3 linked regions of the Drosophila melanogaster genome follow. The protein of the gene in region 3 purifies or fractionates together with the protein of the main gene of each other region. This does not show direct contact. Each region holds a gene or a part of one and is shown on either strand. Other genes may lie near its edges.

The links. The genes of interacting proteins can lie anywhere in the genome.
Region 1: the proteins of Rhp (region 3) and CG32536 purify together in Drosophila melanogaster (affinity purification with mass spectrometry, with the first as the bait; one large-scale study listed by BioGRID). This does not show direct contact.
Region 2: the proteins of Rhp (region 3) and DppIII purify together in Drosophila melanogaster (affinity purification with mass spectrometry, with the first as the bait; one large-scale study listed by BioGRID). This does not show direct contact.

Annotation. Positions count from the first base shown.
Region 1 is NC_004354.4:19,273,687-19,280,096, forward strand, and holds CG32536 (uncharacterized protein), read right to left. Parts: upstream 3,213-6,410; 5' UTR 3,139-3,212; coding exon 2,791-3,138; exon of another isoform or gene 2,532-2,790; intron 1,843-2,531; coding exon 1,714-1,842; intron 1,654-1,713; coding exon 1,471-1,653; 3' UTR 1,318-1,470; downstream 1-1,317. Other genes in the region: CG32537 (uncharacterized protein), read right to left, coding at 99-1,142; CG8028 (uncharacterized protein), read right to left, coding at 3,617-3,878, 3,958-4,078, 4,147-4,291, 5,288-6,301.
Region 2 is NT_033777.3:8,341,095-8,348,782, reverse strand, and holds DppIII (dipeptidyl aminopeptidase III), read right to left. Parts: upstream 4,384-7,688; 5' UTR 4,300-4,383; intron 3,975-4,299; 5' UTR 3,918-3,974; coding exon 3,760-3,917; intron 3,691-3,759; coding exon 3,384-3,690; intron 3,325-3,383; coding exon 1,429-3,324; 3' UTR 1,318-1,428; downstream 1-1,317. Other genes in the region: CG7352 (uncharacterized protein), read right to left, coding at 1-104, 159-1,019; COX7AL (cytochrome c oxidase subunit 7A-like), read right to left, coding at 4,635-4,928, 4,984-5,010; PNKP (polynucleotide kinase 3'-phosphatase), read left to right, coding at 5,341-6,912; Arl2 (ADP ribosylation factor-like 2), read right to left, coding at 6,933-7,067, 7,126-7,480, 7,540-7,604. UniProt on the Drosophila melanogaster protein: Degrades neuropeptide proctolin (RYLPT) by cleavage between Tyr and Leu residues.
Region 3 is NC_004354.4:15,785,614-15,794,896, reverse strand, and holds Rhp (rhophilin), read right to left. Parts: upstream 6,001-9,283; 5' UTR 5,785-6,000; intron 4,651-5,784; 5' UTR 4,608-4,650; coding exon 4,509-4,607; intron 4,155-4,508; coding exon 4,038-4,154; intron 3,919-4,037; coding exon 3,791-3,918; intron 3,655-3,790; coding exon 3,501-3,654; intron 3,436-3,500; coding exon 2,995-3,435; intron 2,910-2,994; coding exon 2,753-2,909; intron 2,688-2,752; coding exon 2,440-2,687; intron 2,380-2,439; coding exon 2,250-2,379; intron 2,186-2,249; coding exon 1,860-2,185; intron 1,806-1,859; coding exon 1,653-1,805; intron 1,589-1,652; coding exon 1,385-1,588; 3' UTR 1,265-1,384; downstream 1-1,264. Other genes in the region: sordd1 (suppression of retinal degeneration disease 1 upon overexpression 1), read left to right, coding at 1-400, 464-630, 696-796; mRpS30 (mitochondrial ribosomal protein S30), read right to left, coding at 6,888-8,103, 8,268-8,725.

The sequences.
Region 1 (6,410 bases), 3.5 Mb from region 3:
GAATGATTTATTGTAACAAAAAAAAAAAATGTGTGTGGTAATCAATCTAAGCTAACGAGTGGGGTATACATTGAGTCATGCGAATGAAAACACGATTTTTATTGCACTTTAGCCGGTCCGCGCCGACGCGTAATCTTCACCAGCCGCCGGCGACGCTGGCGTGGCACTGGGAGCTCCGTTGTCCCGCCGGCCGGCTGCTCCGACCGCGGCCCCTGCTGATCCGTGCCCTGGGCATAGCTGTAGCTAATGGTGCGCTTGTAGATGCGCTGCTCCTGCTCCGACTGCTGCGACTGCTGGGAACGCGGCTTACGTTTGTGAACGGAGCTGGACGGATGACGGGTGGAGGAGGCCTTCGTCTTTCGGGTCTTGGCCTTGCGGGCCTGCACATCGTAGCAGCGTTCGATCTTCTGGCCCTTGCTGTCCTTGCACTCGTAGCAGACGCTGTTCTTCTGCTGGCGGCGCACGCACAGGCTGCTGGGCGCCACCGGCTCGGCCTGCTCCTGATCCGCCTTCTGTGCGGGATCGTCGCGGTAACGCTTGTACTGGCTGCCGCTGCCATAGGCGTACTGCTGCGGTTGGTCGTCGTGCGAGTAGCTGCACGTTTCGGACACCTCGTTGTTCTTCAACTGGCGACAGATCTCGCACAGCTGGCCATCCTTCCGTTTGACCTGCCGGCAGCGCTGATCCCTGACATTGGTGGCCTCCGCCTGGGTCTCCTCCTCCTCCTCCTCCACCAGGCCTTCGCCTTCGTCGTGGTCATCGTCGTCGGCAGCCCGATCGAAGTACTCCTTGACGAACTGCTCGTAGTTGCGCTCGTAGTTGTCCTCGCCGGAGTAGCCCTCGTGGCTGGTCTCCGCACTAAGGCTGTCCACATCGTCAACGGCCGCCGCCTCTGCATCCGTCTCAACATCCACGTCCACGTCCTCATCCACCTTGGCCTGCGCTTCGTTGGCTGGCAGGATGGGCTGCATCAACTGCGGCAGTTTGACCACCTTCGATTGGTCCACATCCGTGACGGTGAGAGCGTCCAGGCGCTGGAGCAGCTTGCCGGGCGCAAAGGCCTCCCAGTAGTTGACGCTTCGGTCGTAGCTGTCCGCCAGGGAGACGGCCAAGCCGAGTAGCAGCAGCTCCGGCAACAGCATCGCATAGAAATCTGCGACTTCCGTCGCCTGCCGTCGCTTTTATGGACTCGACACTCGGCCTGACTCGACTGCACGCCACTTCACTTCACTGCAGATGGAAGCGGGTCCAATGGAGCGCGTCCAAACCGCAGAGCCATCAGGAAGTGTGGCCCAACTGATCCGCGAGGAGGGAAGTGCGAGTGAAAGGCAAGATTTATTTCGTGTAGCCAATCAACTAAATCGAACAAAAGAAAGGGGAAACAGAATGCAGGTGGTCGGTTGTGGAATGGTCAGAGTGGGTGAGGCTGGTGAGGTTGGTGAGGTTGGCTAGGGGCTGGTGCAGCTACAACTACGCCGCTCGCTGTCCGGCGGTCAGTCGCTGAGCGCCCACAGTGGGCGGGGCCGGGCGGACGGGCGGCTGTCGCTGATGGCGCAACTCACGACGCTTCTCACGCAGAATGTGCTTGGTCTGGGAGGTGTCCAGCTCCTCCCAGCCGCCGGCATTATCATCCACCCAGTCCTCGAGATCGGCCTGCCGAGTAAGAAACATTAGTTCGTTTCATGCATTCCATTCGGGCTATAACTGGCTCACATTTACGCTAATTGGCACCAAGTCCTGGGCCTGCAGTCTTGAAAAGTCACTTTGTTGGCTGGTCGCCGCACTCGTGGATGGATCCTCCAGGTAGAACTTCATCTGCGGCTTGATGGTGGGCGTCAGCTCCTAAAAGAAGGTTACATTTTAGCCAAATCGTTGAGGATATGAAACACAGATATTATAAATACTTATATATTCTATATATAGTCATATAAAGAATATATGCATTGTGATTCACAATTTTTTTATTTGCTTGTTTTTACTTTTGTAGGTATTAACTAACTTATTTAGCTGGATGGTTCTTCATGTTTTTTATTTTTTACTTAAATCAATGCCTGTTGCGTAGAAATAATATGGAGTTTTTGTTCATAAAACAGATACCTCAATATGAACAATTAGCAAACTAAAAACGGCTGTTCATTAACAAATATTATTCAGCGTTGTAAGCACTCACTTTTTAGTTTACTATGCAAGTTTTCTATATTTTATAGCTTTAAAAATCATAGGATAAATATTTTGACATTTGCATTTGTCAAATCTGCAAGTATCTATTAACAAATAATGCGTTTAAGTACACTCTTTAAGTATTCCTGGTTCAAATGTTGTGGACTCATAAAATCATATTTTTGAAATTTCTAAAAAACTATTGAAATATTAACAAATTATCACAGTAATAAGCTAAATATTCATATTTTTTAAGTAAACCTTTTAAATATTCCACAAATATTTAGTTAAACACAACTAGAAATTAAGCGTAATTTGAAATAAATGGTTGTGAATAGTTTCGAAAATGATTTCTTTCTAGATTTTTATACCTGTCGTTTTCTATGGCTGCTAATCTTTATGACGTGATTATGGCCCACATACAAACTTGTGCAGTTGATAGGGTATAGGGTAAACACGCCGAAGTCACCTAGATACGTGTACAGGTGGGGATGTCGCCATTTAGCCCCAACATAGCCCACTATCCCACCATCAGCGAGCGTGAATATCCCTACAATTGGGCTACGACTATGGGCCGTGCAAGCGGCGCAATCTGCGTAATCCGCGCCCATTGCCTGAGTACCAACTCACACTGAAGAAGTCCGGTTCGGGTTCCTCCTTGGGCGGAGTGGGTGGCTGGGCCATTCGCTGGCGGTACTGCTCGATGTGCTCCTCCACGGTGCGCGGACTGTCGTCCCAGGAGTTCCAGTCCCGCTCGCGCGCCCCCGCTGTCCTGCCACCGCCGGCCTGGCCAGCGGAGGTGGCGCCGGTGGCGGAGAAGTCGCCTCGCTCCACGATCACGTTGACCGCTTGCAGTTGGTCGGCGGATCCGGTGGCGGAGCCGCTGTGGCTGAGCTTGCGGCGCCTGGAGAAGCAGCACAAGGCACGCCGGCACAGCGTGATGATGCCCAGCACCAGCATCTTGATTTGCTGCAGCATTGTCACCTGGTTAACTATCCTATTCTATATTATTTACTAAATTTCAGTTTCTTGGACCCCGTTAGTGTGACCGCCACGTGGACAGCGGCGAATACCAAATGGTTGTACTAAGCTACCGACTTCTCTATTTGTAAATACCGAAAACTGTGACATTACCGTTAAGTATTAAACAGTTTAACTGTGATTTTTGAATTTATGTTTTTTCCTTTTTTGAAAAATACTGTATCACATTCATTTTTCCAAGCTATTATATTAAATATTAAATATATATGTTTCATTATCAAATTTCCATTTTAAGAACAAGCTGTTTTTTTCTTTATCGCAAATGATACTTTTGACAATTTAATTTCCCATCTAAAAACATGTTTTGGTTTTATTTGCTTAATACTTCTCGTAATTGTACCTAAATTACCTCAATAATTCACGATATGTTTTGTTAAAAAAAAAGGAAGGGGGGGGGGGGGTGGTAGAGTTTTTTTTATTGGACCATTGCACTACGTCCCTGGTTATCAACATCCTCGTGATCAACGTTGTTGCGTTCGATTTTGTTACGCCTCCGAAACTTGACGATCAGCACTTCGAGGACCCAAGGAGCGGCGCACAGGATCATGAAGCCGTTTAGGATGTGAAAGACGAAAATGTAATCCCTGGTCTTGTCCCGAATAAACCCAACAATGGGACCGATGAGGAACATGGCATTGCCTTGGATGAACATGAAAAGGCCATAGCCAGTGGCGAACCTTAAACGAGATGGAAATATATGAGGAATATATATTATAATTTTGTGATAAATGCTATAAGCTTGCCAAAAGAACCCACCTTTCCTTGGGCAAGTAGTCGGCAAAGACCAGAGGCAGTGGAACGTGGAGCCAGGTGCGCAGAAATCCAATGACCGCCGTGATGCAGGCCATGCCCACAAACTGTGTGATTCCGTTGAAGGCTGTGGGAAAATGAGTGAGATTAGTGGGAGGAAGGGAGTTCTTGGAGCCCAAGGAAGGGTTCGCCTACCGAATCTCGCAAAGACGGTGAAAACGGCTCCGGCCAAATAAATGTATCTCGAAGGAACCTGGATGCACACGGCGGTGATGGCCAGGAAAATACGAGATGCCAAGTCTGCGGCCGCTCCAATGGCGATAATGGTGGCCGTGTCGGGCTGAAAAAAAACAATATTATTTATGGGATGTAGAAGTTACTGAAAGAACTGGAAATAACCTGGTAATCGCAATAATCAGACTGGGAAAACCACTTAGAAATCGTTTATATATTCTTACGGTAAGCTTATGTTATTTTTATGTTTTTCTTTTACAAGGTTTTTAATTTTTTTTTTTTAATCTGTAAAATACTGTTTCCGATTAGCCGTTTTTTAACGGCGAAAGCGGACAAAGTGAATTCGAATAATTCAAAATGGCGTCGCGTTCGTTTCTGCCTTTTTTTGTGAACGTTTTTTATTCTTTTAAGTTGCTTCTAAATCTCATATAACTTAATTTTTGTTATCGATTTCAGATTTATCAGTTGCTTATATGATCGCTCAAAGTGTTAAGTTTGGTGTGCGTTAAAAGTTAGTAATTATTATTGAAACTGCGTTTTCGCAAGTAAATTTTGGCATTTTGTGATACCTAAAAGAAATCTATTTGTATATAATTCACAAGAACAAAAATTCAATTAAATCAGCAACGGGTGTCGGGTTCCGCGACTATTAGATACCCCTTACTTTGCAAGATATGATTATATGCAAGCATCGTAGATATTGCTTGGCAAGTAGTAAACTGCTTGACAAGCAGCAAGTCGACTGCTTTAGAGATTGTTCAAGGTGACTTTAGATATACGATCTATACCACGTGATATAATTTCAATTCAGTTTGAACTGGTTTCTCAAAGAAATTTTGAATAAGGTTATCAAGATTAGGGATATGATTAGGGATACGAAAAGTAAAAAGTACATATGGAAAGATTGCGAAAATTTATGTTAATTACACATAAATATGGTGTCTATTCTACTTTGCTAACATATATGCATACAATTTTTATGTAATTTTTCAATCAACCCACCACATCTACATTTCTTTCAATAGAGCTAGCAAGTTTAGTGTAAACTACGGTAAGCCTACTGCTCCAGCCCTTAACTGTGGATATTGTGGTAATGACTCACCCTGCTGTATCCCAGCTCAAATAGGTAGACTGGCTGCATGGTGAAGAAGGTGATGTCGGAGTAGAGGGCAAAGGTGATGCCCAGCACGATGTTAACGAAAATGGGCTTCTTCAGCAGCGTGAGATCGAGGAAGTCGACGATGGTGCGCACCCAGCTCTTTTTGGTAGCGTGGGCTGGAGCTACTGCACCTGATGCACCGGCAATCGTGCTCGGACGCCGTGAGGTCTGCAGGCTGTGCATCATCTGGGGCGAGGCGTCACTGACCACCACGGGTCCGGACCAATTGCCCAGGCTGGTGATGCTCGAGGCCCGACTGGACAGAACCTTCAGCATTTGCTCCTCGGCGTGGGAGAGCTTTCGCGCTCCTGGATCAGCGGTATGAAAGTTGGGCTCCTCTCTGGTAGCCTTAAGCGGTGTTTCCGGCTGCACTCTAATCACCACCGTTGGGCTCAACTCCTTGAGTTCCTCCTGCTCCTCGGGCTGGATGGGCACGCGACGCATGTGCCACTCCACTGGGTGCATGACCAGCATCCCGAACACCGCATGAGCATTCAGTCCCGTGAGGATGAGCAGGCAACCGCGGAAGCCGTACCATGACATCAACTTCTGCATGACAATCGGATATAGCATGGAGCCCAAGCCAATCAGTGTCTGGGCAAAGCTCATCCACATCACGCGGTTCTTGACAAAATAATGGTTGAATGTCGTATAGCAGGTGGGCACCATCAGCCCGAAGGCGAATCCCTGAACGACGCTAAAGGCCATGATCAGGTGTAGCGTGGAGGTGGCGAACAACTGCATTCCAGTGCCCAGGAAGTACAAGATGCCGCCAGTGACGCCCACCTGCCGCATTCCAAAGCGCTGGAACAGGGAGCCGGAGAACAGGCCGGCGAAGCTCATCGACGAGAAGAAGGCACTCGTTATGATGGCCATGGCACTCGTCTCCGCTCCAATGCTCTTCAGGAACTCGCCGAAGACCAGGCCAAACGATGGCAAAGCCGCAAGGGCACTTGTCTGTAAGTAATCGTTTGAATTTATGCTAATTGCGTTCTTTATTTATGCCATTATATCATTAGTTCTAGAAAAAAAAAGTTTACTCTGAATTTTATTTAAACTATTTTCC
Region 2 (7,688 bases), on a different chromosome or scaffold from region 3:
ATCTGCTCCTGCTGCATCTGTTGGCGATAGCGCTCGTCACTCTTGGCCGTGTACTCCGCCTCCAACAGATCCAGCAGCAGATTGTCGCGATGCCGTTTTTTGTTCTGCAATAAGAGTTAGCTTTATTGATTGAATCGAAAAACCGCTTCAAGACTTACTTCGATTTCTAGGACTTGCTGGCCCAAACGAATGCTGATTTCTTGTTTTTTGCGTTGAATCTCCTGGCGTTCAGCCTCCAGCTGGAGTTTCCTGCGCTCCATGTCACTTTGCTTCTGGACTAAGTCACTCAACTCCTGGTTGTATTGAGCTCGCTGCCATTCTCTGAGTTCCTGGTTCTCCTTGATGGACCGCAGCATGTCCTGTCGCTTTTGTAGTTTTTTTCTCTGCGCCTCCAGCTCCTGGGCTCGATCCTCTTCCTGGATTTGCTTCTGCATCAGAAGGCTCAGCTCCCGGTCATTCATCACCTGAGCGTGCTCTTGCAGGCGCCGTCGGCGGTTCTCCTCCATTTGTTCAGCCAAGGACTCCCTAAGGCGGCGTTGTTCCTCCTTAAGAGCCACTTCCTTCTCACGTTGCCTGACCTCCAGCAGACAGCGCTCTTGGGACACTTCCGCGGCTTCCAATTTGATGTCTAGCTGTCGACGACGTTTTTTCTCCTCCAAATTCTCGGCTATATCCCTGGAAATGGCGGCTAGGCGCAGCTGCTCCGCCAAGTCGCGCAGTTCCTCGCAATCCCGCCGCAATTGCTGGCGACGTTTCCTCTCCACAAACTCCGCACGCTTAAGATCTTGCATTTCCTGCGTCATCGCTGCCTCCTCGATGAAGTCGCGGGTTATGGGACTCACTTTGGAAAGCTCCTGGCTGCGGCTCACCTCCTCCAGGTCGTACTGCAATTTTCGGAACAGCTGTGAGCTGAAAAAGTCGTGCTCCTTGCGCAATGAATGAGGCACCTGGAATAGCGGCTGTCCGATGTTGATAGTGCCACCTTCCTTGTGGTTACCACGATTTCTACCGGTTGCCATGGTGGTCAAAACAATGCAAACAGAAATGGAAACGAGAAACAAAATAAAAAAAAAAAAACCAATATTTATCGACTGGCTACTATGAAAACATTCAATGAACAAATTGTAGTATTTGATTTTATATTTACATTCTTAATTGTGGAGCTATTATGAGCAATATACATTTGGTCGCAATATATGTATGTACATACAAGCAATTAAATTCAGGTCCTTTGTCAATATTTTCGGTGAATGGCAAAAACGATCTTAAAATCACCATTCACTACGAAAGTTTTACTATAAAAGCAATTTAAAATTTAAAATTGTTGGTCATTAGATGACTATATATATTTTTATATATTTTTTTTCAAAATCATAGTTAACAAATTGAATTGATAATGAAGGCGAAAATGTTAAATGCGAAATGTTCTCAGTTGTTGAAGGCAGTCGGGAAATACTTCTTGTCCTTCTCCACGATGCTCTCCAGAAGATCGTCGATGTCAGTGTTGGGGTAGCGCTCCACCCATGACTGGATGTACCCCTCGTGGGTGGGCTCGTAGGTCTTCAGCTGGACCTTTTGGTCCTGGCCGATCGCCGTGTTGGCCTGGACGAGAATCATACGCGGCTTCTTGTGCGCCAGGCAGATATCCCGCCACTTGGCCCACGGATGCGATCCGCTCTCGTCGACCTTCGAGTAGTGTTCGTACATCTTGGAAGCTGCCTCGATGTCGGCGGTGGATTTGTACACCTGCAGCTTGGTCAGGAAATCGCCCAGCGCCTTCCTGCCCACGGTATCGATCTTGCTGCGATCCACCGTCAGCAAAAGGTTTTTACCCTTTTCGGTTTCCTCGACCTTAACGAGTCCTTCGCCTGCCTCCAGCAGCACCTTCATGATCACGAAACGAGCGCGAGAGTGCGCCTGGAGCCACAGCTTGGACTTCGGGTTGAACATTTCCAGAGCCACACCCATGCCGTTCCAGATGAGACTCAGCCAGTTGACATAGATGATGTTGTCCTGCTCGGCTTTGTCCTTGAAGCCAAAGATCTCCAGGATGTCACGCTGCAGGGAGAGATACAAGCCCACCGCCTCGGCGCGGCATTCCTCGTACGAGGAACCAATTGCTCCGAACTTGGTGTCGTAAGTTTCTCCAGGAAGATACCACTTGGTGATGGGTTCACCGGTGACCAGGTTCTTAGTGTTCTCCTTGTCAAAGTTGTACACACCATTTTCGTCGATGCGGAATAGCTTGCCACTACCATGGCCTAGGAGTTCATGGAGGCCCACTTGCACCTCAAAAGCCTTCACCTTGTACTCTTTCATCAGAGTTTGATCCTCCTCGGTGAGGAAAGGAATGGGATCCTTGCGGTTGATGTTGGCCAGCACATTGCCCAGCGAGACGTTCTTGAAGCCTTCATCCTGGCGGATTTCGTCGTAATTGGGAATATTGATGCCCGCTGGTACTCCGCTGCCGGCAAATGTGAGGACATCCAGGGATGTGAAGTCTGGCTTCAGGTAAGAGTCCTTCTCGTAAGGCTCCGTCCAGGGCAGGTACTCTATTAGTTTCTCGGCGCGGTTCACCAGCTCGGAGAATTTGGCCGAGCTCTCCTTGTTCACCATGGCCACGAAGCCCTCGAATTCAGCCCGACCTCCAGCAGGATCCCTGTATGTCTCAATGAAACCAATGTAGGTCTCGATGACAGGTCCCTTGTCCTTGATCCACCAACGCGATCCGTTCTTGTGCTCGTCCAGCGAGCCCTGTTCAAAGGATCGGACATAGTGCTCGATCATCTTGGACTCGTTTTCATTGGCTGCGTATTTCTGGGCCTGCAGCAGATGCTGGTTGACGCGCTGAAGCAGCTTCTGGTAATCACCGCGTGTCACCCTAAACTTGTTGCCATTATACTCTTCCAGCGGAAGTGTGATGCCGTCCTGCGTGGACTCCGCCACGGAGCCCAGCTTTACATCGTAGACGGTTTGACCATTTTCAACTATCTTGAAGGTCCGGCACATGTACGGTTCGATACGCTTTGAGGTCAGCCAAGCGTTCACGATCTCGGAGTCCTCCTTGGTGCAGTTATCCGACCAGTAGGTGGTGATTCCGTCGGGAGCAAAGCCCAGGATCTCGTTACGCGACTCGAGCGCATAAATCAGATTCTTGACCTTCTCGAAGATCTTGCCTACGCGCGGCTCATCGCTGTAAGCAGCGGATGCCTTTACTATAGTCTCAAATTGCTTTTCTGAGAGATTGGGAACGATCTTGCTGTCGCCCATACCCTTGTAGTTGCCCGCGTTGGCGAACACACCGCAGGCGTACACTAGGAAGGCCTGAAAGTGATCAAAATTAATATTTATTTTCGAGAATATGAAACTCTCCTCTGCCATACCGTAAAATCATCAGCAGACACTCCCGCCTCCAGGGCTTTCGCCCTAAGAACAGGAATCTTTTCGGCTAGGAAAATGCGGTGCAGCAGGGAGAAGATGAGCGGCGCCTCCGGACTGGACTGGATCAAGGCAATGAGTCCGCCGTCCCAGGAGGCCTGGCTGAAGTGGTGGGCGTAGAGCTTCTCCTTCTCGGTGAGATTCTCGAAGGCACTCTTGCAGTCCAAATCGGCAATGGGCTGCGTGTTAGGCAGGACGAAGTGCGCGGTTTTACTGGCCATCTCAGCGGGTTGGGGAAGGTTGGTGCTGCAGCTGCAAAGATATCATATGGCGAACCGGACCGATTATATACATGGGCTTTAGATAACACCTGGCAAATACCTGTAACGAACGAGGGAGCTACAAAATCCCAAACTTCTGGAGATTGACGGTTGGACTGAGCGAATACTGGGACTGGTCCCGTAATTTAGACGACTACGGAAATGACACAGCCTGTTCAGTTGCTGCCGGGATCTCTGTAGCCCTCTTAGCCAAAACATTACTGGGAATTTTTTGAGAGTATTCTATTTGAAGACTTTACATTACTTGTCGCCCAACTGGAAAATGTGAAAAGGCTACTTTAATTTGGATGAAAAGCCAAATAACTCGGGGAACACATGAAAACTTGATAATGCAATTTTATCTCCAGCAAGCCGGCTAAACTGCAGATGTGGCAGTTAAGCGGCGTTTTACCACAAGAATATAGAAAACAAAACTATGGCTAAAATGGAGCCCGAAAACGTGAAGAACTGGCAGAGCCCAAGGAAAATGTGAATGTTTAAGAACTACGTGGTTAGTCAATCGCAAAACAAACAAAAACCCACCGGGCATTCGTGTTTTAAGTGGAAAAGATAATCAATAAGTAATTTCGTGCGTACTTACCTTTAAAAAGTGAGAAAATATGCAGTTAAGAAATGCCGACAAAAGTGCAAGTTGTTCAAGCAGTGTGACCAGCTGCTTTGTGAGTCGATATAACACCACATATGTGTTATATGATATGTGAATGGCAAAATATTGGCGGCATAATTTAAAAACTCCAATGAACACTTTGAAGTAAAGCACATTATTATTATTATATAATTGATTTTCCGTATTTGAACTACCTATGTACAGAAACGTTACTAGTTAACTAATGTATGTGTCGTTACAATTGGTATTTGCATTCGTGTACAGAGTATTTGTGTTTTGTGGGCTTGCTTGCATGATCTCTGTTGATTTTAGGCAATGATATAGCCAAGCCACAACCATACATCGCCACCTATGCCGAGGAAGCAGAGCACCCAGGTGAGTCTGTATAATATGTTATCCATACTGCCGCCTTTTAGAAAAATCGGCAAATCATTGTCCGCCTGAAATTGCTTCCTCAATTTGACCATTTTTGGAGGAACTTTTCCAGGACGTGTCTTCGGAGCTGCAGCTGCAGCAGCAGCATATTTCAAAGCAGCCGAGTTGCGAAATTCACGAATGGGCTTACAAACTGCACCCACATCACCGACTCCCCGAAGGAAGGGCTGATCGGAAAGAACGAATTAAATTAATGTTTTGTATGGAATGGTGGTAACTTACGCGCAAAGAGAAACAGTTTCTTTGCATTTACGTTTCCTGAAACTTTCTGGAGTATTCGGAACAAAATTTTGTCTGCCTTTAACTATCGAATAATGTTTAAGTGACACTATTACTATAAGCCATCTTTGATGGATTTAAGATTTCTGGAAGGGTTTCACACAGAGCCTAGGCTCCGATTTTTATATGGAGTAATTTATTTTTCAATTTAAATAGGTAAAAACAACCACTTTCATTTCAAAGTACATATGTCTGTGTGCCACTCTTCTTCTTTTAATGCCAAATTAGGTCACACTATTCGCTCTCTAGTGAATTTTGGTGTCAATATTAAGCAATGCTCTTATTTATTGATTAACCAAAATGTCTATGGCTAAATACCTAAACCGATCCGTTGGAAAAGCTGGCAAGGATGTGGCCGCCAGGATATGCACCCTTAAACCCACTGAGCCGGAACACCATTCTATACACCTGACCGCTGGGGAGAATTTCGTGGGACGCAGCCGGGAGACCGGCATCCGAGATTCCAAGTGCTCGAAGCGACAGATTCAACTGCAAGTGGACCTAAAAAAGGCTGTAGTTTCACTTAAAGTCCTGGGAGTTAATCCCTGCGGCGTCAATGGTCTGATGCTTATGCAGAACGGGGAACGCGAGCTGAAGCACGGAGACTTGGTGGAGATCGTTTACGGCAGGCATCAGTTCGAGGTCGTCTTTAACCCTCCACCGGAGTATGACAAGGAGAAAGCTGAGCCGTTGTCCACAACACTATCACCGTCAGAGAAATCCGAGAGGTGGGACTCATCTGGCAATGGTAAGCTGGTTATCTTTACCAGCGTCGGCGTTAAAGGTTCTGAAAAGATAGCTGGCTACGACATGGACGGCACCATTATAAAAACAAAATCGGGACTGGTGTTCCCCAAAAACACCGACGACTGGCAGATCATATTTCCCGAAGTGCCGGAGAAACTAAAGAATCTCCACAAGGATGGGTTTAAAATCTGTCTCTTCACCAACCAAGGAGGCATTGCTCGTGGAAAAATCAACCTAGATGACTTTAAGGTCAAGATCAAGCATATTGTGGCTAAACTGGGAGTTCCAATTCAAGTATTTATAGCCATAGGTGATGGATTTTATCGCAAACCTTTGACGGGAATGTGGCAGCACTTAAAGAGTGAAATGAATGATGGCGTTGAGATTCAGGAAGATCGATGTTTCTTCGTCGGCGATGCAGCCGGAAGACCGGAGACGGGCAAGGGAGCCACCAAGCGGCGCAAAGATCACTCTTTAGTAGACAGACTTTTTGCAGCCAACGTGGGAATTTCATTCTACACTCCAGAGGTTCATTTCCTGGGCAAACAAGTGGAGCAGTGGAATAAGCCGGACTTTGAACCCACTAGCGTTCAGGACCAAGTATCTCTGCTTGATCCGGATGACTTGACCCTCGATGACCACCCCTGCGAAATGGTCATCATGGTGGGTCTGCCAGGATCCGGAAAGAGCCACTTTTGTTCCAGCTTTTTTCAACCGCGGGGCTACAAAATCGTCAATGCAGATACATTGGGTAGCACTCAAAACTGCCTGACTGCCTGTAAACGGTTCCTGGACTCGGGCCAATCATGTGTGGTGGATAACACCAATGTGGATGCAGCTTCTCGAAAAAAATTCTTGCAGTTGGCCAGCGAAAAGATGATTCCATGCCGCTGCCTTGTGATGAATGTGCCCGTCGCCCAAGTGAAGCACAATATAGCTTTCCGAGAGCTATCAGACTCCGCGCGCACCAAGATCAAGGACATGGTATTTAACATGATGAAGAAAAAGTACCAGGAACCCGCCCTAGACGAAGGATTTATATCCATACACAAGGTGAACTTTAAGCCCAATTTTGCGGACGAAAAGCAGGAAAAGCTATACAAAATGTACTTGGTCGAGAAATAAGGAAGTAAAATAAATTGTATTTAATCCAAAGTGAATATACGCTTAGCTATATCGGCGATCAACCAGTCCATGGAGCTAAGCAGTTTCTCGCCAGTCACTGCACTAACTCCGGCCACCAGCCAATGATGTGTGGTGATATCCTCTAGGTGTAGTATCTTTAAATATAAAGTATATTAAATGTGTTGTTTCAATAAAAAATCAATGAGAGTGAACCTCTTTAATTTCGTTGGATGAGAGGGCTCCCGGTAGATCCTGTTTGTTGCAGAGAACTAGGAGTGTGGCTCCAGCTAATCGCTCTTCCTGGAGCAGAACTTGCAGCTCCTGGCCGCAGGACTCTAGGCGCATCCTGTCAGCGCTATCCACCACCCAGACCAGACCATCAGTGGACTCGAAGTAGTTTCTCCAGTAGGATCGCAGAGACTTCTGGCCACCGACATCCCACATATTCAGGGTGTAGCCGTTGTGCTCCAAGGTTTTAATATTGAATCCCAGTGTGGGTGAGATGGTGTCTATGGGTTCGCCATTAAAGCGCTTCAGGATTGTCGTCTTGCCGGCATTATCCAGACCTCTATAAGAAAGTCGATACATGAATCACTATTTATTTTTTTATAATTCCATGGAACTCACAGCAGTAATATGCGCATTTCCCTTTCCTTCTGTCGCATCTTTTTTAATACTGTGAGGAAGCCCATGACAACGTCTGTATTTTAGTAACGCTATGGAATTATAAACAAATGTTTTTATTGGCAGCTGCTTAAATTGTTTATTAAACTAAA
Region 3 (9,283 bases):
CGCTGGGTACCTCGATTCCAACCAATTCGACGGCATCGGAACTGAAGAAGTCCAACACTTCGTATTCCTTTACTGGAGACTATCTATCTGGTGGCAATAAGGCCGATCTGAAGGGTGGCTATCCATTCGGCGGCACCGATACGGACACAAAAGCCAACGAAAAGGACAAGGAGAAGGAACATACCGCAGACGACTCACTCTACGAGTGCAACATATGCCTGGACACCGCCAAGGATGCTGTGGTCAGCATGTGCGGCCATCTGTTCTGCTGGCCGTGCCTGCATCAGTGGCTCCTGACGCGTCCCAATCGCAAACTCTGTCCCGTTTGTAAGGCTGCCGTTGATAAGGATAAGGTCATACCGCTGTACGGAAGAAATAGTACACACCAGGAAGATCCACGGTAGGTTTGAACCGCTTTCAACATGAGTATTTTTCAATAACCCAACTTATATGTGTTTTGCAGTAACAAAGTTCCACCACGCCCCGCTGGACAACGTACAGAACCAGATCCTGTTCCCGGGTTCCCTGGATTCGGATTCGGCGACGGATTTCACATGTCTTTCGGTATTGGAGCTTTTCCTTTCGGGTTCATAACATCTACGCTCAACTTTGGCGAACCACGTCCACCTGGTAGGTTACATGCCATCTCAATAGTTCTGAGATTGATATTAAATAACATTTGCCCATGTATTTAGCTGCTAATCGGGGAACAAGGCAATACGAGGATGAACAGACCCTGTCCAAGCTGTTTTCGTATTTGGCCGTTGTGTGGATATTGTGGCTGTTCTATGCATAGCAATCTGCGAACGCATAAAGACATCACCCCGATAAGAAGAACCTATGTTCAAATGTGTATGGAAAGCGTGCGAAGTAATCATATAGCAGTATCCTCCAGTTAAATCAACAATATTCTTAAACTCGTTGGGCAATAGTCGTTGGTGTGATTAATTAACATAAATTGTTAGCATTCGGTTATAATTGTAATTTGAGGATTCGCAAAACAGAAGTGGATTGGATCCCAAACTATTTCAAAAAGTCCGCGATACCCTACGACTCCAGCATAAAAAACTGAAATTTCGAAATCATTGGATCGTAATGATTTAATTCAAATGTAGATGTCAAAAATTGTATAAATATATATTTTAAATTCGATAAAACATTAAAAACATTTATTTCAATTCATTTTCCGTGTAGATTATTATCGATGGGTGATTGGGAGCGATTGAATCAATAGGAATAAAATAAATTATGGGTATAATAGAGGGGCTTTTAAAAAATCATTAAGTTTATTGCTTAACTTAAACTGCACAACATTCTTTTTAACTTGAAATGGCCATTGCCTTAAGAGCAAAAAAATAAAACACAAAATAAAACTGATGGCTACTTAAAATATTTTAGCTAAGCTAGGCGTTCGCCGAAACGGATTCCACGAACTGGATGAAACGCTGCCAGCGGGTCGCGAACTAGAGGATGTTTTCAGGTGGAGCTTGGGCTTGGCCGCAATACTTGTGGGACTGGGAAATCCGGATGAAATGCCCGATGAACTGGCCGCCGATAGCGTTGATAATGAGCCCTTCGACGACAATGGCTGTGCGTAAACAAGGTGAATTTGTTTGCTGATTTTTTACGTATGATTAATAAACAAAATGCACCTTCAAGTAGTTGCGATCCATGGGCGTTATCACTCTCAGCTCGAGTGTAGAGCCGCAGGATTGTATGAGCTGCACCACCTGCTGATGGGAGTACCACTTCACGTCCACGCCGGCTATCTCGACTATGAAGTCTCCCTCCTTGATGCCGCCAAGCTGAAAATAATGCCTACAGTATACGACGAATCGATGGAAGTAGCATTTACTTACGTCTGCCAAAGAATTAATCTCAACGTGGGCAATGATCACCGGAGCATCGCCGCGCACATGGAAGCCAAAGTTCTCAAACTCCTCCTTGTACAGATTGTATCCACCATCGTGCTCCTCGTCATCATCGTTATCCAATGGGCACTTGTTGTCATTGCTGGGCACGCTGTGATACAGGGAGGAACCTTTCTGGAGACGCACACATCTGGGCGCTGTCCAGTGGCGTCTCGCCGAGAATATTGCAATCGGGCCGAGGCGCTTGAAGGGATCCTTAACCTTGTGCGATGTGAAGTCGGGTCCGGTCAGGGATAACGTGAACTTCGAAGATGCTGAGGATATGGATGCATGTATGTACATGAAGACATCGGCTTATCTTGAGTATGATATATGTACCTTCTACCGATCGCTCTAGAAGATCGCCATCTTCGATATTTTTGGCTGAAGCTTGCAGTCTGAACTTCTCGAGCTCCTCCTGCGATTTGGAGTGCACCTCCTTCATGACTTCAGTCAGTGATGCCTTGTTCTTAAAGATTAAAGTTAAAGGTTAGGTTATTAGGCTATAGGATATAAGAAGTATATTTACCTTCAAGAACCGACACATCCGCTGCAATCGCTGGGCTTCCTCGATACTGGCCAGCGCCTCCTTTAAGTGGGCCAGTTTGTTGGCAATGGAGGTGGACGCCTCATCGCTGGCTCCATAATCGGCTGTGGTGATGCGCTCCACCTCCTGGGAATTGCCGATGAAGGATTCTTGGTTCTTTTGACTTGACTTTGATGCCTTCAGCTCGTCTGTCGCATCTATGCTCCGTGCCTTGTAGAAATGTGCGAATGCTGTTGGCGTTTACAATCATACTTTAGAATGAATATTCCCATTTCGAGGTGATAACCAATTCTACCTTTGTAGAGTTCCGCCTTGACTGGCACTAGACCGGCCCAGCATTCCGGAAGATAGGTGTGCGTATCGTTCGCCTGGATATTCTTGTGCATCTCATTGTACTCGTGCGATATTTGAGCAGCCTCGCCAGCCAGATCCCGAAACGCCTGGCAATCGTGCTGTATGGTTATATAGATGGTAAAATTATGTAACTACATACTATATACTATATACTATATACTATATATGCTGACGGAAACTCACGCTCATCGCCTCGATCTGCAGCTGAAGCTTCTCAAAGAGGCATTCTCGTGCCTGGGAAAGCATCAGGGAAACGAGCACGTCCAGGACCTGTGGCTTCAGGTCCATCGATGGTGCATTCGTGAACGTATCGTAGATGTGACGAAAGACCCCGGCGGCCCGTAAAAAACTATCCACGGCCAAGTCAAGACCCCGTTCCGTCGTGCGATCGTGTCGAGCGCCGATCTGTGTATATATGCCGCCCAGATTGAACAGGGTGCAGGCTTTCTCGAACGCGATGGTCCGCTGGCACGAGGGAACTCCCGTGAGCGAGTCGTACCACTCGAAGTACACGCCCAGGTTACGATCCGGCGGAAAGAAGCGACGCTCCACGTAATACAGCGTGTTGTAGTAGCGGAAAAGTAGGGCCACTCCCAGGGCATCTCGTGACGGTGTTTTGGATGCCTATTAGAAATTTTTCGCATTGGATTATATGTGCATAAAATTCTTATATATGTACGAGGCATTACCTGTCTCGTGTCCGTCATATCAGCTATGGCATCTATGTACATCGAGGGCTCCTCGCTGTAGTGTTCCAGGATGAAGTCGGAGAAGGGTTCCATGAAATTGATCTCCTTGGTTTCCTTCAGGCCCAGCGGTATCATGGGCATAATTCCATTGTGACTAGAGAGTATTAGAGGATTATTATTATAATACCATCAAAGGAATGCCTTGTAACTGCCTGCTTCCTTGAAAGTTAGACCTTGTGGTGGGTCTTCCCACCCAGTTTCTTATCCTAGGAGCGGGCTTATTAGCTCACCTTTCGCTCTGATAGATTTCCACCGACGAATTCAACTCGGCCAGTTGCTCCTTCAGCAGTTGCAGATTTGAGTTGACAAAGCTTAATTCCAAGGCAACTGTGTCGCGCAGTTTGCGATTCGATGTGGCCTAAATATATATATATATATATATATATATATATATATATACATAAAGATATGCATTTAGTTTTGGCATGGACATACATATGTATGTTCAGAGTGATAACGGAAGGTAAGGTAACGCACCTTATATAGATTCTCGGCACCAGCTCGAAGGCGGAGTTCCTTATTTATTTCTTTGTTTAATTTGCATCGCCTGTTTTGGAGTTTGCTACGACAAGTGGCAGCTCGTGGATCTGAACCCTGGAAACAGGATGCTATATGATTATATCGATTGTATCTAAATATATATATATATATATAAATATATATATATATAGATACGAATTTAAATCTATATTGTGGAGATATTTGGCGGATTCCTGAACGTCATTAGCCATGATAGCGATCCCTTAAAGTTATGACTCAGTGTTCAAAATCAAATATTCCATAACAAAGCTTTTGGGTGATACAATCATTTATGGCGTTTTAGGTGATAACAATTGCAATGGAAAATAATAATACTTTTACAATATACATGAATAATACCACTTGACATTTTTCGAATCGCTAAGTGCGCAAAAACATAAATAAATAAGATTGCTATTCTACACTTACCCGAACAAAACAAAAGGATAACTCATTGAGCTTCTCGTCATCCTCGTTCTCCTCGTTTTTCACCACCCTCGTCGACAATTCGTGTTCCTTTTCATCCATGGTTCAAAGATCCGAAATCCGAAATGATTATGATCCAAAAGGACTGCCAATAAACACTGGATTACTTTTCAATTTGTGGGTAAATGATGAAATAATAACAATACAACCTCCCCCCCCCCCCACCGAACTATTCACCACACCGCATATAGAGAGTTCTATAATAGACTTCCGACCTTCAAGACAAGACCAAGATCATGAAAATCCATGCAGCACTTGTTGTCGCGTTATGAATGGTGTAACTAACTATTATAACACGAGCTGCTCGTTTTTCGTATGTATGCACAACATGAGTAGCTAAAGATAGAACCGCATTTCTTCTTCTTTTTTAGCTTTAGGAGGTCAAACTCATCAATCGCCTTAACGGTTTTCGATTCGAGCGAGCCATTTAAGCAGCGCCAAACATCAACATATTATAACCGTCATGGCACTGCTCCAGGGCAAACTCAACTTGAGATATCGTGAATAAACACATTGGATTGCAATGGCATTATTTAATAGAACATTAGAGACTTACAAAGTGTCCGAATATTAAAGGGTTTGAGCATAAACGAAGACTTAAACATGTCAAGATCATAAAAGTCAGTTCATATCTATAAAAAGTGTGTGCCAAGAACTGGAATTCTGGGACACCGAGATATGACGCTTGTGATCGAACTGTATTTCTGGGACAGGCCGCTCGAAAACAATAGGAATTAACTGCCATTCGGTTGTTTTGTCGTTAATTCTCTTTTTGTTTCAACTAAACTATACACACATGCAAGCACGTCGGTTGGCTGGAGATTTCGATGTTGATTTCACGTATTCATGAGATCGCAGAATGCAAAGCATAAATACAGTGTTTTATCGGATTGCTCGCGATCGGAGGGGGAGGAATAGACATAGATATGGATATATATATATATATATACACATAGACATAGATATAGATGTAGACAAATATGTGGTTGGCCACTGGTTTCACTATTTTACACTGGCATTCCAGAGAGTCCATGGCATATATTTATGATAATCCGTGCTTGTTCCACATCATCAGTAGCATACTTTTGTACTACTGGTATGTTATGGCATAATTATTATACACATATTTACACGCCTTACAACTTTATAAGCTCGATGGACTCGACAAAAAAAGAAGCAAATAACCGAGAAATACACTTGTTTGCCCACAAATGCTCACCGTATCCACATACTCCACGATCAATATTCAAGATTTTTCAGCACTTGCCCAACGGAATTTCGACTCAATATCAGTTGGGTTCGACTTGTCTGCACTACACTTTCCACTATTACCAAAAAAAAAAGAAATATATATGCAACAGGTTACTGCTCTACCTTTTTGGACAACCGAAGCGCCAGATACGAGTTTCCGAACCACCGTAAAGTCTCAAACTGGTTATTTACTCGAGCCTAACTATTCAGATCCAGTGTGACCGTCGCACGGCCGTTATAACATACCATACGGTTAGCTGGGACGTTACCGAAATAACCAACAAGTGGTAACTTTTTCAGCAATCCTAACTTTGATGTAGTGGACTATAAAGCTATTATCGTAAATGTAAAACTACTATAATAAATGGGATAATAAAATAATCAAGTAATTAATTAATGCATACATATTACCAGACTAAGTAAGAGTTTGAAGTGTACTTATATGGAATATCATATAAACCTTAGTGCACTATTATGTTCAAACAATATATGATTTGGTAAAAAGATTTAAACTACACTATAGCATTATAAACCTTTTTTACGTTCGAAAAATATGGTTCTGGTGCAGTGTAACCGCATTTTACCCACTTTTTGAGATAACTTCGGTATGTTTGCAGTGCTGATAAATGAAATAAACAATGGAATCTAGAATAAATATGTGCTGCATAAACAATTAAATAATGATAAGAAGCATTGCATTGGCAAGTTTTAGCATCATCAGCACTAATAATTGGCAAAATTCCAGGTATTTGTATAATCATATCTATTTGAAAGAATTTAAGATAAAAAAGACTAGCTTATAAATTTACAGAAGTGTTTAACCACAAGCATAACAAAGTTAATAAATATATATACTTTGTATGGCATAGAATTTAAATTGAAATTTAACAAAATATTTATATTAAAAATCATTAACATACTGACAAAAGTTTGCGGAAAATTGAGTTAATCAAAGTTTAAAGAAACTTTGTACACCGTTTCGTTGCTCCGAATCTGCAATCCAGTATTTCACATTAAAAATTCAGCATTTTTAACAAGTGTAACCTTAGGAAGTGTTTTATATTTATTCATTTAAGGGTAGTACGTCTTCTTGAACCTGTTCTTATTCTTAGGGACGTCTGGTCGGACCGCACGTGGAACATACTCCTTGTCATGTGTGTCCAGCGTTCGCTGCCAAGGATTGATGTCCAGCTCGAAGAAGCGTCTCTTAGCCTCCATGGCACGATTGTTGTTATCGATCTTGTATAGCTTCTCCCACAGGTAGATTTCGGGCAGCTCCAAGTGTCGCGGTCGGTTTGATGCCAAATATTTGAAGGTCTTATTGATAAAGTCACGCTGTTCGGCGTTCTCATAGGCGGAAACGTCGGAGGCAACATACGGCTGCTGCTCCCCAATGCTCCGCTGAATCGATGGCGCATTGGCATAGAAATTGAGCAGGTGCCGCAGTGCGTTATCGTTGAAATCAACGCACTTGCCGCTTGCCGAAATCTCGGCGTACAGTGGAAGTGGCTTTGTACCGCGACAGAAGTTGACACGGGGATTTTCCGCCACGTTTGTGCCGTGCAGCAGCAGCGTATTAAGCTGATACTCATAAAAGCTCCATTCCCTGCCGTTCGTGATCACAGTTTGAGTGTTCATGGGATAGGTCAGTTCGTTGTAGGTGTTGAAGCCATTGTAGTTCGCCTGGGCCAAAAGCCAGGCGTATGACGATTTAATCGCCAGCGAATGCAATGCCTCCAGCTGATCCTGCTCGCCGAACGATTTCGGACGGATCTGCAGGTGTGCACGCGATTGAAATGAGAGCAGGCCGAAGTTATTCTCATTTCCTTTGGGCCAATAGCCTGGCACATTGGTGGCGTGCTGATGCTTGGTGCTGTAGCCGAGGGTTCGCGGGTCGTGCTTGAAACGGGGCAGCTGTTTGCTCAGCTCGAGGTTTTCGCTTTCCGCTTCCGTTTTCCACGGCGTCAATTGCTTGCGATGGCGTAGGGCAAGATACGGCGCTCCCGTATACTGAACCATCCGATCAACGCTCTCGTTTGCCATATCCTTTTGCCATTCCCGGCCCTTCTTCGATTTCTGCACGTTCTTGGGAGGATCTACGCCGCCAACGGCCCAGAACGCTTCGTGGCGTGGATTGTAGTCGACATCGAGCTCATCCAGGTGCTTGTACTCCTCGCTGAGCGACTGCAGCAGAGCTCTGTTCAGCTGTTCTACAATGATCTGCGTTAGGATGCGCTCACGTTCAACGGGGTTCGATTCGGCAGAGTTGTGTTGCTTTTCCAGATGCCTACGCTTGGTAATGGAGGAGAATGAATACATTAATATCAGACGGTCGAACTTGTAACTGGGACCACTCCAACCAATCCGAGTTCTTAAGTGAGTTGGACCAACTACTGTCCACAAACTCGCCGGAGAACTTGGTTCGTTGAAAGCGGACCTCGTTGTACCCACTTGTAGTAGTCGTGGGCAAACTCGAGGGCATCAATAACATCCCCGCGAGCCGCCTTGAAAAGACCATCCACGCTCGGCTGCTCCTGCTCCTGCTCGGAGTCCTTAGCCTGTGCCTTCTTATCCGTTTCAGATGGCAAATCCTCGAGCACTGTGCGCGTATAATGTTGCGTGAGCGGCAGTGCATTGTAGGGGATTTTCGAGTCGTTGAAGTCGACCACCTTGAAGCCGTAATAGCGGGGCATATTGATCTTGATCATCTTCTCCTCCACCGTCGGCACCTGCCGGATTTCCTCGTGCCAGTTGGCCGCATCCTTCTGCTTGCGCGCCTTGAAGGACAGATCCTGAATCTCCGGATATGCCGGCTCTGCGTCCGTACTATTCAGCTGCAGCTGCGACTGGCCGGACAAACAGCGCTTGTACGTCGTTCGCAGATGGCGAACACGGTTAAGCTTCAACATGCCGTCGAACCTAACGCAAGTTACGATTTATGTTTTCGAAGGAATAGAATTGACTTCAGTTTTTTGACAATAACTAGGTTATGTCATTGCTGCAGTGTGACCGCACGCTGGATTCAGAATAGGTTGCGCCAAGGTAGCGACGGAAAGTTTTGCGATGCCAGTGAAAGTAATGGTATAATTTCTATTTATGCAGTTCAATAATAATTCATAATGAATCATAGTCCTTTACTATTTAACGTGTAGGGGTACAAAATTTAACTTGCTTATGTTTCAAATCTTTTTATTTCTGAAATCAGTTATAAATCATCGTAATATTTTTTAAGCTGTCTAGAAAAAGCTAAAAAATAGTCTTGTTTCATTTGGTATATTTTCCCCTTGAAATAATGGCATATGGCTTAAAGGCACATGCCTTAAAAATCACAATTGTAAACTTAAATCAACAGAGATCAAAATAATTAACAGACTTCTCTGCGATAACGCTTTTGACAATTTTGAATAAAATGCACGTTACAAACAGTAACATATGTGACCGTGTAACGTTTTCGATAACGTATCCCA